3 linked regions of the Oryctolagus cuniculus genome follow. The protein of the gene in region 3 interacts with the protein of the main gene of each other region in a biochemical or structural test. Links are inferred from orthologs where the notes say so. Each region holds a gene or a part of one and is shown on either strand. Other genes may lie near its edges. The genes, in order: CSTB, CSTA and CTSB.

Region 1 (3,744 bases), on a different chromosome or scaffold from region 3:
TGGCTGCGCCCAGCAGGTGCCGGAAGGCCACCTGTCCACACCCACCCTGACTCCCAGGAGGGCCAGGGAGCCCAGGACAGGGGCTGGGAAAGGCCTCAGGCACGGGATGGGGGGATTCTAGCAAGACCCCACCCCTGCCCGGACAGGGTTGGGGCCCCTCCCTCCCCCTGCAGCCAGCACCGGAACCCCGCCCCTCTGCGGGCCCACTCAGCCCTTCCCTGTATCGCCATCACCCACCGATGTCCACTGCAGCCCAGCTCTCCCAGGTCGGCCGGGGTCCCCATGCCAGAACCCCTCAACGGGGCCCGAAGGTCCAGGCCTCGCTAGATCGCCTCACCCAGGGTCCTGCTGGCTGGGCCCACCCACCACCGCAGCCGGGACCCTCCAGGCTCCCCCATGCCCAGCCCACTCTCACTGGGACCGGACCTGCCACCGCCCCCGGCAGGGCCCGCCCCTCCCCGCAGAGCGAAGAACCTGTGCCCGCAGAGTTTCCCACACTCGTACAGGAGCCAGGACCCCCACCCACCCGACCCCGGCCAGGCCGCAGCGTCACGCCTCCTGGGCGGGGCACCTCGGGAAATCACGCCCCCACCCTCTCCTCGTGACTCGGCCGCCGGGCTCAGGGCGACACCAACCCGGCGTGGGGGGGACGCTCCCTGCCGGATACCCCGCCCCAACTCCAGAGCCAGAACCCGCGGCAGAGGGCACGGCCAAGTTCTCCTCCCGCACCGGGTCTCGGCCCTGGCTCCGGCTCGGCCCGGCCGGCGCGGCTGCGACTGGGGGCGCCGGGACCGCGCGGCGGCCGCACTCCCCCGAGCCGCGCCGTGGTTCGGCCCGCGCGTCACGTGACCGCCGCGCCCCGCGGGCGGGAGGGGCCGCAGGTATACTTGGCGGTGCGGCTCGGCTCGCTGTCAGCGTCGCCACGATGATGTGCGGAGCGCCTTCCCCCGCGCAGCCCGCCACCGCCGAGACCCAGGACATCGCCGACCAGGTGAGCCGCGAGGACGCGCGTGTCCGGGCTTCGAGGGGCAGGCCTCGGAGCCGCCGCGCCTGTGTAGACGGAGCAGGGGTCGACTCGGATCCCGTGGCCGGCCGGCCCCAGCCTCCTCGAGCCAGCCGGGAGAGGGACCCCAGACCCACTCGCTCCCGGGCCCTGCCCCTCGCGGGCGGCGGAGGTGGGGCCGCCCAGGTGACCACAGGGCCGGGCGGTGCGTCGGCGCCCCGGCCTCTGACTATGGGGAGTCTGCCCCGATTCGCGGGCCCCGGCCACGGCCCGGAAGCCCTGCCTCCCTCCCCTGCCTCTCTCCCCGCGAGTGTGGGGTCGGTTCTTCCTGCGCTGGGAGTGGGCAGCTGCCGGTCCCCTAGGAGGAGCCGCTGGCCTGTGGTCGCGGGGCGGCAGGTGCAGCTGTGAGGTCCTCTGGCTGGGGGTGCCCTGGGTGAGCCCTCTTTGCTGCTCCCGGGGTATCAGTTCCAAGCCGGGGTCCCTGAGCCTGACCCGGCACCCGGACTGCTCACCTGCGCTTCCTGGACAAAGTCCGGCCGGGAGCCGCCCTCCACACGAGTGACCAGCCCTGGCATTTTCGGCCCCTGCAAGTCCTTCCTTCCCACGTCGTTTGCAAACTCCAGCGTGGGCGGGGAGGCAGTGGCCACCCTCCCACCCCGAGGGCTGGCCACTGGCCTGTGGGTCCCACAGGTGCAGCACAGCTCCTGTGTGGAGAGGGAGGCGGGCTCTGGCCCCGTGCAGCAAGAAGCCAGCATGAGGACAGGGCCTTCTCCCACCCCCAGCTCTCCAGCCATCCTGCCCCGGCGTGCTGTCCCCAGCGAGGGTGAGGCACTGCAGGGGACCGTGCCTGGGATCAGATTGCCCTGGCCACTCCTGGCCTGCTACACCGGCCTCCGTGTTTCTGGTGCAGCGTGCTCCCTGGGGCCCGCTCTCCGCCGTGTCTGGTTTTTCCCGTGGACACCGCTAATCCCCTGGGACCACTGTGTGTCGCTGGACAGCTCACGTGGCCGAGGCCCCCAGTTGAGCTGGACAAGCAGCATCGGACTGCAGGTTTAAGTCTAAAGGAAAAGCAAAGCTGGACTCCCTCTTCCCACCCCGGTCACCAGGCTCACCTGCGAAGGCCGACCCTGGGAGCCAGGGCTGAACCGCGCGGGACTCCGATGTCGCCCCCGAGGCGAGGGCTGTGGGCTAGAGATCATCTCAGTGCAGATACAGTGCGTTTTTAGAAAGATTGGTTTGCTTATTTGAAAGGCACAGTTAGAGAATCTTCCATGGATGGTTCACTCCCCAAATGGTTGCGACGGCTGGAGCTGCACTGATCCGAAGCCAGGAGCCTTTCCCGGGTCTCCCATGCGGGCGCAGGGGCCCAGGCACTGGGCCATCATCCACTGCTCTCCCAGGCCACAGCAGAGAGCTGGATCAGGAGTGGAGCAGCCGGGACTCGAACTGGCGCCCATATGGGATGCTGGCACTCAGGTGCTGGCTTTACCCGCTCTGCCACAGCGCTGCCTTACCTGTTACTGCAGGTTACCCCAGCTGGACGCACACAGCCAGGGAATGGTTACGAGAACTAAGGGGGGCTGCTTCCCGGTGCAGCAGCTTGAACGGCTGCCTGTGGTGCTGGCCTCCTCATGAGCTTGGGTTCGAGTCCCGGCTGCTCCACTTCTGATCCAGCTCCCTGCTGATGCAGGGACTTGGCCGTTGGGGTCAAGTCCTTGAGCCCCTGCACCCACATGGGAGACCTGGATGGAGCTCCAGACTCCTGGCTTCCACCGGGCCCAGCCCCAGCGCTTGTGGCCATTTGGGGAGTGAACCAGCAGATGGAAGACCTCTCTCTTCCTCTCTATGACTGTGCTTTTCAAATAAACTTAAAAAAGAAAAAAAAGCCAAAACAAGGTAATGTGTGAAGTGGAAGATTAAGTCCGAGATGACATTAGAATAACGTAGAAGGCGGTGTACGTGGTGAGTGTGACAGGCTTCGCGGCCAGCTGTCCGCAGTGAGCAGTGCCGTAGCCTCTGCAGTCCCTCCGGGGGCGGAATGGGCCGTCCACTCGCGGGCGTGCGGTCCCACGGAGGGGGCCGCTGAGCCCTCCCCACGCTCCCTCCCCAGGTGAAAGCCCAGCTGGAAGAGAAGGAAAATTGCAAGTTCGACGTCTTTAAGGCCATGTCGTTCAAGAGCCAGGTGGTCGCAGGGACCAACTACTTCATCAAGGTGGGTGTGGGCCGGGAGGGCAGGCCAGGAGCGGGTGCGGGCCGCGAGGGCTGGCCAGGAGCGGGTGTGGGCCGGGAGGGCTGGCCAGGAGAGGGTGCGGGCCCTGGGGTGTGGCCCTGTGGCCAGGGCAGAGGTGTTGAATGGGGGCTCATGTGGCTGCCCAGCCCAAGGGTGCTTGCCCCCAAGTCTAGTGTCAGAGTGGGTGTGGCAGGAGTGAGTGTGGGGTGTGTAGGGACTTTGCACTGGAAGGCAGACGCAGCGGCTGCACCCAGCCCAGCTGCCAGGGCCTGACAAACCTTCGTGTGGGCGCGGGCACATGGGGGCGTGGGCCAGACGGCTCCTGGGGGCGCGGGCGCGTGGGTATTGTGTGCCGAGCGGCTCCTGCAGGCTCGGCGCGTGAGTTCGTGGGCCGGGCGGCTCCTGGGGGCATGGGGGCATGGGCTGGGCGGCTCCTGGGGGCGCGGGCGCCTGGGGGCGTGGGCTGGGCGGCTCCTGGGGGCATGGGTGTGTGGGGGCGTGGGCGTGGGTG
Region 2 (3,744 bases), on a different chromosome or scaffold from region 3:
ATGTGGGATGCAGGTGTCCCAAGCAGCATCTTAACTGCTCTGTGTTGGTGGCATTTAAAATGGCTCAACCCTATTGGAAATTGTTTGGCAATGTCTAACAATGTTAAACACACACCTTCCCTAAGTCCCAGAATTTCTATCCCCAGATATATGGCCAAGAGCAACGACTTCACAGTGGTTTTATTCAAAATCACCTAAAACAAACAAAACATCCAATGCTCCCAACAGGATGCTAAATAATCAAACATGCTATATTCATACACAAGAATACTACATAACAAAAAGAACAGGGTACTGATAAATCTAACAACACGGATGAATCTCAAACATTATTCTGAGTAAATGAAACCAAACCACAACCTGATTCCACTTATAGGAAGTATAAAAACAGGCAAAACTAGTGGTTGAGTGGATGGCACTGGATGAGAAGGGGCATGAGGGAATTTTCTGGAATGATGGAGACATTTACAACTGATTGCATGGGTGGACAACTGCAAAAATGAGGCACTAAGCTGATCACCTAAAAGTTGCGCATTTTACCACACATAAACTATACTTCAATTTTTTAAAAGGAAGGAAAAGAATTCCCCTTGGAATCCCAAAACATGCGTAACCCAAGGGGGAACCCAGGAACGCCCAGCCAATCAGAAGTGGTTGGAGCCACCTGCTCCTCCACCGCCCCCACGGGCTGGCTCTGCTCCCGGGGCTCACCCTCAGGGCTTCCAGTACGCGTTCTGCTCCACGTCAGTCCAGGCAGGGAACGCTGACAGAGCGCATCAAGCCCCTCCTCACCAAGCATCCCCGTAGGCCCAGAATTCAGAGACTTCTGCCAAATTCCTGCAGCTGTGGGGTCACAGGGCCGGGTCTCATCATGGAGTCCAGCCTGGCCCTCCTACCACCTTCCCGGCTGCAAGTCTCTCCGCCCTCTGAAGGCAAAACAAACACTTTGCTTTTGCCAAGCCAGAAAGCCAGCAGACACCCTGGTCACGGGGTTTCAGTTTCCAACCCGCAGGGGCCTGATGAGAAAATTCTCGGAGAGCGCCCTCTACAGGAATTCTGGGAAACGCAGGCTTTCCTCTTCCCCCCAGCCGGTTTGTGCGAGGCCGGGCCAACGTGGTGGGAGTGCAGGACAGAGGCAGAGCCCCCGGGGCCACCTGCTCTTTCCTCTTCCCCGTTTCCTCTGACCTCCGGCCGCCGGGGGAACTCTGAGAAACCTTCAGCGCCTCTCCAGGTACGTTTGAAAACCTCTGCGGGAATGTGGGGGTGGAGGGATTGTATAAAACTGGAGTCCAGGGGTCTTGTGTATAGAAACTGGCTGGAGCAGAGATCCTAGTCCCAGGAGTGCCCCCGACCCCGGATGCCTACGAGTGGCCACAGGCAGCCACCCACCAACCACCTCGCAAGCTCTTGTGTGTATTTCTAACATGCAGACACCCCTGGAGAGCGGCTGGCACACCTGCACGCCCCTTACTCTCCACGGAGCCCTCCTTGCCTTCCTCCTCCTCTTCTTCAAAAGTCACCGCGCAGGCCTGGGCCTGATCAGACACCCGTTGGTCACAGCTCTGATACTGGAGCCCTCAGTCCACACCTGCCCCAGCCCCTCTTCAGAGGCTGGCTCCTCTGTCCCCTGCAGGACCCTGGTCTGCTCTGAGGATGACCGGGAGGGCCTGAGCTTTGTAATCCTCCTGGCTCCTGGCTTTGGCCTGACCCAGCCCCAGCCATTGCAGCCATCTGGGGAGTGAACCAGTGGATGGAAGATCTCTCTGTGTCTGCCTCTACCTCTGTCTATCTCTGCCTTTAAAATAAAAATAAAATAAATCTTAAAAAAAAAACTTGTTTGGGAACGTTTATAACAGCATTACTTTAATAACCAAAAACTGAAAACAACCCAAATGTTCATCAGCAGGTGAAAAAATACACTGGGGTATACTGATACCACTTGAACAAAATCCTACTCAACAATAGTATTAATACTTGCAACAATATAGACGAACCTCAAAACTGTCAGGTGAAAGAAGCCACACACAAAGAGAGGCCACACTGTTTGATGCCATTCATATAAAGAACACGGAGCGAAGCGGGCACCTGGGCTGGCAGTTAAGACACCAGTTAACACCTGTGTCCCGCATCAGCGTTCAAGTCCAGACTCTGGCTTCTGACTCCTCTTTCCTAACAGTGTAGACCCTGGCAGGCAGCAGGTGATGGCTCAAGTACTAGGGTCCCTGCCTCCCACGTGGGAGACCTGGACAGAGTTCCCAGCTCTCGGTTTCCAGCTACAGCTGTTGTGGGCATTTACAGAGTGAACCCCCGGAATGGAGTCATTCGCTCTCCCTCTGTGTGTGTGTGTGTGCCTCTCAAATGGTAAACTTTTTGATTAATGATAGTAAGTAGATTAGTGCTTCCTTGGGGAAGGAGGGTGTAGAGAAGCCCGGGCCAGGGCAGGGCAGGGGGAGTTGGCGATTACAACAAGGAGTGAAGAAACTTGGGAATGACTGTGGTATCTATGTATGTCTGCATTTACATATAAGTCAGGAGTTATGCAACTGAACATTTTAAATATATAATTTATTTTAAGTCAATTATACTGCAGTAAAGCTGTAATTCTTTTAAAAAAATTTGAGTAACAGAGAATCACAGAAGAGCTAAAAAGCTCCTCCAAGGCCCACCCCAAGTGCCTCTTCTCGGATTCTTTCTCCAGCTCTCCAGACAGAGTTGGTCCCAGTGCAGACACTTCCTGTGCTGTAATTAAAGGCATTTTTGAAGACTCATTTTATTTATTTGAAAGGTAGAGTGACAGAGGGTGGGAGGGACAAAGAGACAGAGATCTTCTGTCGACTGGTTTGCTCCTCAGATGGCCACAATGGCCAGCACTGGGCCAGGCCAAAGCCAGGAGCCAGAAGTTCTTCTGGGTCTCCCAAGTGGATGGTAGGGGCCCAAGCACTTTGACCATCCTTGGCTGCTTTCCCAGGTGCGTTAGCAGGGAGCTAGATTGGAAGGGAAGTAGCTGGGACTCGAACTGGCGCTCCAATCTGTGCTGTTGGCATCACAAATAGTGGCTTAACCTGCTGTGCCCCAACGCCAGCCCCAGGAGGCATTTTTCATGTGTTCCTCTTCCTCTCTGAGCAGATAGATCCATTGGAAAGCTGGTGGGCTAAGCAGTAAATAACCATAAGATTACCCAATTATGATTTTTCCTGGACAAGACAGCTGACTCACGAGTTAAAAGGGCTTTGGCCGGCACCGTGGCTCAATAGGCTAATCCTCCACCTTGCGGCGCCGGCACACCGGGTTCTAGTCCCAGTCGGGGCGCCGGATTCTGTCCCGGTTGCCCCTCTTCCAGGCCAGCTCTCTGCTGTGGCCAGGGAGTGCAGTGGAGGATGGCCCAAGTGCTTGGGCCCTGCACCCCATGGGAGACCAGGAGAAGCACCTGGCTCCTGCCATCGGATCAGCGCGGTGCGCCGGCTGCAGCGCACCGGCCGTGGTGGCCATTGGAGGGTGAACCAACGGCAAAGGAAGACCTTTCTCTCTGTCTCTCTCTCTCTCACTGTCCACTCTGCCTGTCAAAAAAAAAGGGGGGGGGGGCTTTGACGGCTGCCCTGGAGGTCACCACACAGCGGCATTTCAGAGGGTCTACACGACTGACTTGTAGGCAAACTTTGCTCACCAGTTGAGGCCAACCCAGATTTGAACATACATATCAATCCAACGAGAGCTGCTGCTCATTCTCACCTCAGAATTCCCCAG
Region 3 (3,644 bases):
CTAGCTGCTCCCCAGAGCACGGCCAGGAGACAGGGGCACCGGGCCCAGAGCCTTCAGCGAGGTTATGAGACCCAGTTTCGCTAGGACTCTGGGAGCCCTGCCGGCTCTCCCATGCCTTCTGACTCGACGGAGCACCGCTTCCCTGCACCAGGCACCCTATGCGCCCCGCCGCGGACTCACCCGTCTCCACACTGGCCGCCGCAGCAGGTGAGCATGTCCTCCGCCGACACCTCCACATTCACGTGCCCGTTGGTGTGGATGCAGATCCGGTCGGAGATGGCTTCCACGGCCCCGAAAGCCTGTAGGAACAAGCGCCATGGGCTGAGGAGGCCGCCTCCCTGGCCGGTGGCCAGCTCCAGCTGTCACCTGGGGGGGCTGCAGACCTTCTTGGGGGGCCCATCTCTTGGTATATCTGCCGATGAGCAGGTGGGCTCCGACTCAGCTGTACCGTAGGAGACCACCTTAAACCTCCGCTAGGGAATTCCATTCGTTTCCGAGACAGTAGCTTGTGTGTCCAACGTAAAACACAGCTCACGCAGAAGGCCAGCACCATGTGCTTTCACTTAGAGGAAGCCCTGGCATTGTCAAACTCACAGAAACAGGAACCACAGTGGGGCCTGCCGGGACCTGGGGAGCAGGGGTCGCTGGGCATGGAGATGGTTACTCAACACTGGGCAGGCTGGGGCCAGCGCTGTGGTGCAGCAGGTAAAGCCGCCGTCCGCAGTGCCGGCATCCCATATGGGTGCCGATTTGAGTCCCGGCTGCCCCACTTCCAATCCAGCTCTCTGCTAATAGTCTGGGAAAACAGTGGAAGATGGTCCAGGTCCTTGGGCCCCTTCACTTGCATGGGAGACCCGGAAGAAGCTCCTGGCTCCTGGCTTTGGATCAGCCCATCTCTAGCCATTGCAGCCATATTTGGGGAGTGAACCAGCAGATGGAAGACCTCTCTCTCTCTGTGTCTCTGCCACTGCCTCTGTGTAACTCTGCCTTTCAAATAAATAAATAAATCTTAAAAAAAAAAAAAAGAAAAAAAAAACACTGGAAAGGCACTTAAGGCCACCGGACTGTGCATTTAACAAATGGTTCTGATGGCTACATTTGGCCACCCCGTGCCACAATTAAACAAAATCAAGATAGCGCGTTGCACAGATGGGGCACTTTCACGGAGCGGAGCAGCGGTCAGAGGCACTGGTACTTGCTGACAGGCCAGCCAGCGTGTGACAGCAAGGAAACCAGCTACACAACCCAGGCGCTCGGGACTGCTGGTGTGCAGCATGCTTCGCCCATCCGTCGTACCACCTAATCCTGGCGAGAACTCACAACCAACCAGAGGCACCTGATGATTTTTTTTAATGGATGGAAACGGAGATGCTGAAAGCTTACATGCTGGCCTTGTCACAGGCTGGTCTGATCCTAACCCCGGGATCACTGACCCCGCCCCCTGTGCCCGACGCCCGCCCCAGGCATCAGGGGCTTACCCAGCAAGAGCCGCAGGACCCCTGGTCTCTGATCTCCTTGATGGTTGGACAGTTCGGCCACTGTTCCCGCGCGTCGAAGCTCTCAGGCAGTTTTATGTCATCAGCGAACTCAACTCTGGGGAAGGAAAGGTCTTTATCAGAAGCCCTCATCTCATAGCTCGTGCCCTGCCTCCCTGCAGAGGCTGCCTGGCTTAAGAGCAGCTGGCTGGGGCCGGCGTTGTGGCGCAGCAGGTTAAAGCCCTGGCCTGAAGCGCAGGCATCCCATATGGACGCCGGTTCTAGTCCCAGCTGCTCCTCTTCTGATCCAGCTCTCTGCTATGGCCTGGGGAAACAGTGGAGGATGGCCCAAGTCCTTGGGCCCCGGCACCCATGAGGGAGACCCAGAAGAAGCTCCTGGCTCCTGGCTCCTGGCTTCGGATCAGTGCAGCTCTGGCCATTGAGGCCAACTGGGGAATGAACCAGCGGATGGAAGACCTCTCTCTCTGCATTGTCTGCTTCCTTCTAGACTTACTACCTGGGAGTTTCAAGGGTCTCAGACACAGGGTTTCCTGTTTCCCCTGCTCCCAGGCATAAACAGCTGCCCAGGTCCCTGATATATCACCATAAGTACCACCATCAGATGACGGTGTGGTCTCCCCTCACTCAACTACCCCGGCCTTGGGGAGACGCCTGATGCTTGTTCAAGAGTAGCATCTGTGTGAAAATGTGCACTGCAGTTTGCTAGAAAAAAAGCATTAACGGGAGATCACGTAGCTTTTCTTAGGTTTCGCCTTAAATTTTCCAAGGTTGAGTTCCAGCAGACCTGGACCTCCCTGTCACACCTGCCCCCCCCCCCCCCCCCCCGGGCTCTGCTCTGGGCCAATCCAGCTTCCCAGGGCAGCCCTTACTTCACATGGCCTCTGCAGCCCTGGGGGCCATCGAGGCCTGGGGGCCTTCTCCCTCTCCTGCTTCCCTCCCCGGGGCTCTCCCAGGGCACTCACCTGCGGGGCAGCTTGGGCCCTCCCAGGAAGGTGCCGCACAGCTTCTTGAGGTAGCTCACCTCCACGTTGAAGAAGTTGTGCCCGGCCTGGAAGAGAGCCACCCTCTCAGTCACCCAGCAGCAGATGGGTGCTGCCTCCTCTGAAAGCCGGCGTGGGAAGGCCAGGGGTCCTGCACAGCTGGGGGATGGCTGGAGTGACCCTCGGACCTCTCATCGCCACCATTTGCTGGCAAGAAGACAGAACCTCCCAACCCCGAACACAGGGGCTGGTACCGATGAAGCAGCACGGGACCTCCCTGGCTGTGGACACTCCTGAGGCTTGCTTACTCCCACACGTGCACACGCACACACACACGCCCCCCAACACACAGTGCTCAGGATGGGAGGTCAAGGGCCCGGTCCCGAGCTTCAACTGCCCAGGACATAGTCCTGTGGCCACAGCAGGCGTCTCTTTCCTGGGGATCCGTGTGCAGATAAACCCGCGGAGCGGACCCAGGCTGGGAGCAGCCCCCGGCCCACCTGCCACGTCGTGTTCTGCTTGTTGATGAAGTTGACCAGCTCATCCGACAGCGGGTGCAGATGGGAGTCGCTCCAGGCACTGGTCAGTGCCAGCAGGCAGCAGAGAGGGGATAGGAGTCGCCACATTCTGGAAGACAGATCCTTGATGCACCTGCCAAAGATGGAACAGCAAACATCAGGCTGCTTCTCCCCCACTGGGCTCCCTTGCTCTGATCATAGGGCGCAGTCTTGGCGCACACCTGTCCTGGCCCCGCCCCTGCCCGTTCCCCCCTAGGTGACTGAAGAGCAGAGAACCCTCAAGGACCAGGGATGTCCATGGGCTCCCAGCCTCATGGCCACGCAAAGTCCCTAACTGTGCCTGGTGCACAGAGCCACGTGCAAAGCCCTGTCTGTGCCGGGTGTGCCGGAGCCAGGAGCGGGAAAGCCCTGGGCTGTGCTGCAGCTACACTGAGTCCAGGGCCTGCTCTATTTTCAGATCTGCAGAACAAAGGTTGAGACTTTTCCCCAGTGAGAGATCTGAAACTGTGTGATCATGACCTAGGGGAGGAGAAATCTGAGAGAAAGTAAGACGCGTGCACCGTTCTCGACAAAACGCGCACAGGCCCCGGAGTGCCGGCCCTCGTGCCGACTGGGGCACAGAGCAGGTCTGGCGGGTGGCACCAGCCTTC

Evidence for each region.
Region 1: the proteins of CTSB (region 3) and CSTB form a complex in vitro, tested with the Homo sapiens proteins (2 studies listed by BioGRID). The link is inferred for Oryctolagus cuniculus from reciprocal best matches to the Homo sapiens genes CTSB and CSTB.
Region 2: the proteins of CTSB (region 3) and CSTA form a complex in vitro, tested with the Homo sapiens proteins (3 studies listed by BioGRID and IntAct, with this or other methods). The link is inferred for Oryctolagus cuniculus from reciprocal best matches to the Homo sapiens genes CTSB and CSTA.

What each region holds. Positions count from the first base shown.
Region 1 is NC_091435.1:2,393,790-2,397,533, forward strand, and holds the start of CSTB (cystatin-B), read left to right. Parts: upstream 1-833; 5' UTR 834-925; coding exon 926-991; intron 992-3,113; coding exon 3,114-3,215; intron 3,216-3,744. UniProt on the Homo sapiens protein: This is an intracellular thiol proteinase inhibitor. Tightly binding reversible inhibitor of cathepsins L, H and B.
Region 2 is NC_091435.1:78,535,621-78,539,364, forward strand, and holds the start of CSTA (cystatin-A), read left to right. Parts: upstream 1-993; 5' UTR 994-1,231; intron 1,232-3,744. UniProt on the Homo sapiens protein: This is an intracellular thiol proteinase inhibitor. Has an important role in desmosome-mediated cell-cell adhesion in the lower levels of the epidermis.
Region 3 is NC_091433.1:42,699,517-42,703,160, reverse strand, and holds part of CTSB (cathepsin B), read right to left. Parts: intron 3,128-3,644; 5' UTR 3,103-3,127; coding exon 2,977-3,102; intron 2,545-2,976; coding exon 2,459-2,544; intron 1,594-2,458; coding exon 1,479-1,593; intron 300-1,478; coding exon 181-299; intron 1-180. UniProt on the Homo sapiens protein: Thiol protease which is believed to participate in intracellular degradation and turnover of proteins. Cleaves matrix extracellular phosphoglycoprotein MEPE. Involved in the solubilization of cross-linked TG/thyroglobulin in the thyroid follicle lumen.